Macaca mulatta: one gene and its partner. The protein of the gene in region 1 interacts with the protein of each later gene in a pairwise test. Links are inferred from orthologs where the notes say so. Each region holds a gene or a part of one and is shown on either strand. Other genes may lie near its edges.

What was found. The genes of interacting proteins can lie anywhere in the genome.
Region 2: the proteins of DZIP1 (region 1) and PPP2R5A interact in binary tests that used the Homo sapiens proteins (3 or more experiments, as listed by UniProt). The link is inferred for Macaca mulatta from reciprocal best matches to the Homo sapiens genes DZIP1 and PPP2R5A.

The regions. Positions count from the first base shown.
Region 1 is NC_133422.1:90,364,488-90,368,049, reverse strand, and holds part of DZIP1 (cilium assembly protein DZIP1), read left to right. Parts: intron 1-1,886; coding exon 1,887-2,024; intron 2,025-3,562. UniProt on the Homo sapiens protein: Molecular adapter that recruits protein complexes required for cilium assembly and function to the cilium basal body.
Region 2 is NC_133406.1:70,022,291-70,026,439, forward strand, and holds the start of PPP2R5A (serine/threonine-protein phosphatase 2A 56 kDa regulatory subunit alpha isoform), read left to right. Parts: upstream 1-1,325; 5' UTR 1,326-1,901; coding exon 1,902-2,082; intron 2,083-4,149. UniProt on the Homo sapiens protein: The B regulatory subunit might modulate substrate selectivity and catalytic activity, and might also direct the localization of the catalytic enzyme to a particular subcellular compartment.

The DNA of each region.
Region 1 (3,562 bases):
AACCCTTGCCAGGCCCCCTCCTCAACCCAGGCCCGGGTAGGATCTCTAAAGCAAGCAAGTTATGGCTAAATGAGCCCCTCTCCCTTATGGGAACAGCCCTGGTCCATACAGCCCTGGCCTCATGCGTAGATGATACCTGAGCTGCTTCTTTAGAAAGAAGCAGCCAATCCATCAGTGTCCTCCTGCTAAGAATTCTAAGCTCCCTGGTTAGATTTGACGTGACTCTTCTTTGGGGAAAAGGTAGAAAGGAAGGGAGCTGAGCAAAGGTCCTTGAGCTCCCTCTAGGGGCCAACAAGTTTTATAAACAAAAATAGAGAGATTTTTGGAATTCACCTGAGGGCTTTCCTAAAACTCTTTAAACTCTAGCATGAGGTTTGGTGAACGATGGCCCATGAACCAAGTCCAGCATACCACCTGATTTTGAATGGCCTGTGACATAAGAATAGTTTTTACATTTTTACTTTTTATTTTTTTCGAGACAGAGTCTCTGCCACCCAGTCTGGAGGGTAGCGGCACAATCTTGGCTCACTGCAACCTCTGCCTCCTGGGTTCAAGTGAGTCTCGTGCCTCAGCCTCCTGAGTAGCTGGGGTTACAGGCACATGCCACCACACCCAGCTAATTTTTGTATTTTTGGTAGAGACGATTTTGGGCCTCCCAAAGTGCTGGGATTACATGTGTGAGCCATTGTGCTCAGCCAGTTTTTACATTTTTAAAATGTTGGAAAAAAAGAAGACTATTTTGTGACACAGGAAAATTTCATTAAAGTTCACATTTCAGTGTCATGAGTGAAGTTTTATTGAAACACAGCCATGTTTGGTAATTTACGTGCTGTCGGTGGCATTTTTGTGCAGGAGCGGTACAGTTGAATGTTTTGTCTGAGACCTCGTGTTATGAATCTACATGATTTATAACTGTTGCTATTGAGCTTGGCTACCTGGCTGAGGTAGTGTTTGTCAGGTTTGTCCACCAAAGAATTTCTCTTTTTTCCTCCTTTCCCTGCTGTCCTTTCTGAAATGAAGTCACTATGAGCAGCCTACACTGAGGAGAGAAGAAGTGCGCTCCCCTATCCTTTTGTTTTTGAAGTTAACATGTTACCTTCTGTGGTTTTCTGAGGGTTTTTGCCATGAGTAACATTAGGAACAACATCAAAAGAAAAGGGTAAAATTAAAACATTATGTCCCTAATGGATTTACTGATGTGGTCCCTGGACAGTGTTGGCCTCTCACTAAACTAGCTTAAGAACCAGGTGCATTCAGTTCTTCTGTTTCTGGTGCCTATTAAGTGCCCATAAAAAATTTTAAGCCCCAGCTGGGCCTGATGGCTCACACCTGTAATCCCAGCACCTTGGGAGGCTGAGGTAGGCAGATTGTTGTGTAAGCCCAGGAGTTTGCGACCAGCCTGGGCAACATGGCAAAACCCTGTCTCTACAAAAAAAATACAAAAATTAGCCAGGTGTGATGGTGCACGCCTGTAGTCCCAGCTACCTGGGGGGGGGGGTGCTGAGGTGGAAGGATTGCTTGAACCCAGGGGTTGAGGCTGCAGTGAGCCATGATCATATCACTGCACTCTAGCCTGGGCAACAGAATGAGACCCTGTCTCAAAAAAAAAAAAAAAAAAAAAAAATAGACTCATTTAAGATTAGAAAGTTAGATTTTCCTTCCCCTTTTTTCACCCTGTACATATTCTGATAGGAAGACCAGCAAGCAGTAGAAATAAACCAGTAAAACCACAGGGAAGCAGAAGTGGGAGAAGCTTCCAAGAGCATCCAGGAGCATCCAAGAGGGCAGTCAGATTTAAAACACAGCTACGTGCTCCCTGATTTTATTCTCCGTTTCAGTCTTATAAAAGTCTAACTGTAGTACTGAGCTTGAATTTTATCTTATAGCAACTGTCAGAAATCCAGAAGTCCAATATGCAGATCAAGTCCAACATAGGCACATTAAAAGATGCACACGAGTTTAAAGAAGACCGTTCTCCATATCCCCAGGATTTCCATAATGTCATGCAGCTTCTTGATAGTCAGGTACGTGCAAGTGGGTGGCAGCTGCAGTGGATGCCTTTCTTTTTCTTAGCGAAGTAATTTACCGTGAGTGCCATCTGCAGAAAAAGTGTGTGTCTTTTTCAGTAACCATGAAGGTGACTAGCTCTTATTTTTCTCCTGCAACATGCCTAAGTCATAAGAGGTGTTTGTTACACGCTTGCTGTTGGCAAATAGCATACACAACAGTTGGCAAAACTGTTTTGTTTCTTCTCTCCATAAAATCAATTTGAATTGGTTAGTATAACCTAGCTATTCATTTTTCATCTTTCAGATGTAGCTTTCAATTTCAAAAGGCGTAGAAGGGCACATTGAAGCACCAGATTTAGTTTTAGAGTTTAAATATACTGCTAATTGTATTTTTAGTAGAAATGGAGTTTCACCATATTGGCCAGGCTGGTTTCCTGACCTCAGGTGATCCACCCACCTTGGCTTAATTAGCTGGACGTGGTTGCAGATGCCTGTAATCCCAGCTACTTGGAGGGCTGAGGCAGGAGAATTGCTTGAACCCAGGAGGCAGAGGTTGCAGTGAGCTGAGATCACAGCATTGCACTCCAGCCTGGGCAACAAGAGTGACACTCAGTCTCAAACAAAATATATATATATATATATATATATGTGTGTGTGTGTGTGTGTGTGTGTGTATATACGTGTGTATGTATATATATACGTGTGTATATGTGTATGTGTATATATACGTGTGTGTATATATATACACACACGCACACACATACACGTATATATACATACACACGTATATATACACACACATATATATGTATACACACACACATACACACACACACACAGCTAACTGGCCAAGATCTCTTACATTTATGAGACAATCACTTTTATTTGGAAGTGAACTTCTGTAATCAGCACAGTCTTTATCATGGCTATTTTGGTCACAGCGGTTTAGGGGAACAATTTTTTTTAAACTAGGAAGAAAATAGAGATGAGAGCTTATGAATTCAGGATTTTTTTAAAAAGCCTGGGTCATTCTAAAAAAGGTAAGTGAACTTTGGAAATCAGGATCACTGCTTCTTGCTTCAGTGCTCACGTCTTTCCTCCCCTACCCAAATCTACCTGCTCCACTGCAGTCAGGCTGACCATGTCCCTGTCCTGTCTGAAGTCCTTCAGTGACCCTTATTCTGGACTTCCCACCAGCTTGCAGGGTCCTTTGGGTTCTGATCCCTGGGACATCTTTCTCTGTTCTTTGCTTTCCTGGCACTCCAGCGGCCCAGCAGCCCATGCCTCTGAGAACATGGCCTTCTGTCTTCTTCCTCAGCTCTGGCTGCCTTCCTGCCTGTCCTGCAGCTCCCAGTTTTCGGGACCTGTCTTTTACTCATTCTTTAGTATTCAGCCAGGGGGGGAGGTACCACTTTCAGAAAGTTCTCCTGAGCCTCTAGGCTATAGCATTTTTGTAGTCCCTAAGTGGGACCTGATCACATACACATTGTATGTGGATTCTCCATGGCTGTGTCTACTCGCCTCCCATCCAGAGCAGGGCCTGTCTCTTAATC
Region 2 (4,149 bases), on another chromosome or scaffold:
TACTTTTATTATGTTGAAAGGAAAAGGTCTGGAGTTCCAGGGAGGGGATTACAGATTTCGGTCTATTGCCGCAAAGGGAGGCAGACTGTTCAGATTAATAATTATTAATGGCCGCTGTATGGAAAGCACTGCACAAAAAAAACTAAGATGACCAGTCCTTATCCTTAAGAAATTCAAAATCTAGACGGAATCTCCAAGAAAGAGATTCCAGTAAGAGTACATGGCAAGCTTCCATATCTACACACCACTGACCAATGAATTTGTACTCTTCTCATTGGAGTAGTCGAGGGCCTTTGGCTCAAGGAGGGGTGAAAATTAGCAGGATACTAAATTGGGAATGAGAACTCTCTTTTTAGAGGGCGTGGACTTGCAGAACTCTTTGAAGCAGTAGATGCTATACTGCTCAAACCCCACACGAGAGTAGCTCTCTGGAGTTGCGGAGTCCGAACCTCCCAAGAACTACAAATTTATTCCGCAACTATCAATTACGCGGTTGGGGGCCAGTGAGGCGCCAAGACCCGCCCAGGTGTCCAGTACCTCGCAACGATTGGACGAGCTCAACTCCTCGCCTCCCCCAGGGCTCCCTCGCCCATCAATCACACTGCTTGCTCGCCACCCGACCTTTGCTGCGCCCCCTTTCAGTGGCATAACACCTGGCGCTCTTTCGCGCCCCAGCCCTCCGGCGCCCCACCAATCGCTTCAGTTCCTCACTGGCCAGCAGAGAGGAGAGCGAAGGGAAGGGGCGCTCAATTTTGCTCTCTGAACGCACCCTCTCAAATTTCCCGGTCTTCTCGCAGACGGCCCGGAGAGCAATGACAGCCTGGAGCAGTCGCGCATGAGCGCAAAAGTGCCAGCTGGCGGAGGGGCGCTTCCCCTCCCTCCCAAGAGATTTGCCACATTTGTTGTGACGCAGGGGCACCCCGCTCGCCTTCTTCACTTACGATTGGCTGTGGCCAAAGCCCGTCACACAGCCCGCCCCACTCCTCTGCCTCAAGAGGCCGCACCTCACGCCGTCGCTGCCGCTTAGCCGTGCGATTGGCTAACAAGACTGGCATGCTTTCCCGCCCCCTCCCCCGCCGCCGCACCGAGAGGCGGGCGGGACCCCGCGGAAGTTGTCAGTCAAACTCCTCCCTCCCCACCCCTCGCGAGGCCCCTCCCCGGGCCGCGCGCCCTAGCGCGCGCACACGCGCACACACTCCCCGCTCGTCTGTACCAACCACCTTCTCAAGTTGTAGCGGTCGCTCGCCGGGGGTTCTCCGTGGGCGGCCGACGGGCGCGTGGGGGAGGGGGTTCGGGCCGCCCAGCGCGGCAAGGAGGAGTGTGTGCACGCACCGGGCCGGGGCTACGGGGCAGCGCCCCGGGTGATGAGGGGCCGGCGCTGACCGGGAAGAGTGGGCACAGCGGCAGTGGCTCCGAGGGGACCCGCGATGGCAGCGCCCCGGGAGGAGGCTCCAGGCAGGGCGGGCTACGCCGGCAGCGGCCACTGAGGTGCTGGCCGACCGGCTGGCTGGCGACCGGGGCAGAAGCAACGAGAGGCGCGCTTGGCGCCAGCACCCCGGTGCCCTCGCCTCAGTTGTCTAAACTTCGGGCTCTCTTCCACCCGCCCTGCGCGCCCGGAGTCAACAACTTCTTCACCCCCCTCCGCCCCCGCCCTTCCCTCCGTCAGCCCCGGGAGCTCGCCGCGCGCCGGGGACCAGGAACCTCCGGCGCTGAGATGTGGCCGTGAGGCGTTGGCGGGCGGCGAGGAGAAGCTCGGCGGCGTCCCGGGGCCGGAGGGCCGTGGGGCCGGGGCGCAGGGGCGCGAGCACCCCGCGCCTCTCCCCCGCCTCCTCCTGCCGTCTCCGCCGCTGCCCGTGCCTTGCAAGCAGCAGCCGGAGCTGCCAAGCGCCAGGGCCGCGGAGATGTCGTCGTCGTCGCCGCCGGCGGGGGCTGCCAGCGCCGCCATCTCGGCCTCGGAGAAAGTGGACGGCTTCACCCGGAAATCGGTCCGCAAGGCGCAGAGGCAGAAGCGCTCCCAGGGCTCGTCGCAGTTTCGCAGCCAGGGCAGCCAGGCAGAGCTGCACCCGCTGCCCCAGCTCAAAGGTAACCTCCGAGGGCGCAGCCCCGGGAGCGAGCGCAGGGGCTGGCAACGCTTGCCTCTGCGCAAGCAGAGCCATTTCCTTCTGGGCTTCTCTCAGCTGGGACTCCTAGTGTGTGAGCCGAGTTCCCCACGATGCCTTGGCGTCCCCTCACCCCCTCCTCCTTATTCAAACAGGTTTTCTGTGAAGTCTTGGCTCTTTCCTTCTAATTCTCCACCTGAACTCTTTCCATCCTAGGGGAGGCCAACACCCCTCCCCACCTGCGCGCTTGCTTAACCTGCACTTCCTATTTTGCGTCCCGCGAGGTAGAGCCCTTCACTCTTCTTCCAGGTTTGCCCTTTCCCGGTCTTGCTTTAACAACCGCACGAACCTTCCCCGACCTTCACTTTCCCGAGTGTCAGCTCCTCTGTTCAGCCACTTTTAGCTAGTCCTTTACTTTTACAGTTATAAAGCCGTGTGCACCCACCCTCTTCTCAACTCCACTTCCCATTGATTGCCCCTAAGAGTCATCAAACCAGGAATCCGAATGCAAACATCGGCGAAGAGTTAGCTGGCCTTTGGATGTATTTATAAAGAAAAAGCCTAAAAATTTGACCAGTGTAGTATCTTATTCACTGGATCGTTAGGTTTAAATGGTATCCTGTAGCTCAAAGAACAGAAATATTTAAAATATTCTGTTGTCTGAGATGATACACACGGTCTATTTGGAAATATAAAGAAGTAGGTAGTGTTGCTTTGCAATCGAATGGGAACTTAGTTTGCCAGGCAGTGATTCCAGGGACTTTGTAGGTTTGTACAGGAATTCAAATTGGTATCCGTGCCTAATGCCTTGCAGGAGAACTTGGCACTCTTTTTGGCTCACTTTTCCTACTAGGTTTAGAGGATTTTCGATGTTATTTCCTGGTGTTCTAGTTTATTCTTTGTGTATTACTCAGTATGTTTAATAATGTCCTTGCATTTTATGAGATAGAAATGATGGAACAAGATGATAATGCTCCTACATTTTTAAATAAAATTTGCAACCTGACGGAGATCCATATCATCAGATGTTCAGATTTTTCAATTCATTTGAAAAAGCTACAGCATCTCCTTCAAGGCCAGTCTGGTTCTCATTTGTCTTTGGGCCTGTGAATCCAGCCTTAGTTTGGCAAGGAGTCTAAAGAAAACCCAGATCAAATCACAGCTGACCTACAACAGCTCCAGAACCCTATTGAGACCCTACCTTGCCCTGACTCTTGGAGTGGTTCTAAATCATGACATCTCACCGTTAGAATCAAACTGGCTTTTGAAAAGAGGTTTAGAGATATGATTAGTCTGTGTTATCGAATTTATCATTTGATTGCTCTTTAGCATACAAAAATTGTTAAAATTTACATAGCAAAATGGTAGACTGTAATGATAGGCATTGCCAAGACTTTAATTCTTGAATGATGTCATAGCTATAAAAGAATATCGTCTTTGCTATTCATAGATTTTAAATTTTACACTTATTTAAAATATCATAGTTTTTTTACACTACTGATTTTTTTTCCTCATTAAATTGTCAAACTATGTAGTTTAAAGGTTTCGTGCTAGGGTTATTTCATAGTTATTTAATTTGCTTTTTAGTAAGATATTCTAGTTTCTTAGTATTGTACTTCTTAATAGTATACTTTAATAAAAATAATTGAATATTAAACGTTTGGTTGTTTTCAGGCCAGGAGATGCAGCTTTGATACGTTTTGCTTTTTTTTTTTTATTTTTATTTTTTAAATTTAATTTAATTTAATTTAATTTTTTTGAGACGGAGTTTCACTCTTGTTGCCTGGGCTGGAGTGCAATGGCACGATCTCGGCTCATTGCAACCTGCGCCTCCCGGATTCAAACAATTCTCCTGCCTCAGCCTCCGAACTAATCCCAACTAGCTGGGATTACAGGCATGGGCCACCACGACCCGCTAATTTTGTATTCTTAGTAGAGATGAGGTTTCACCATGTTGGTCAGGCTGGTCTCCAACTTCTGACCTCAGGTGATTGGGCCACCTCAGCCTTCCAAAGTGTTGGGATTACAGGCGTGAGCCAACGCGCCTGGC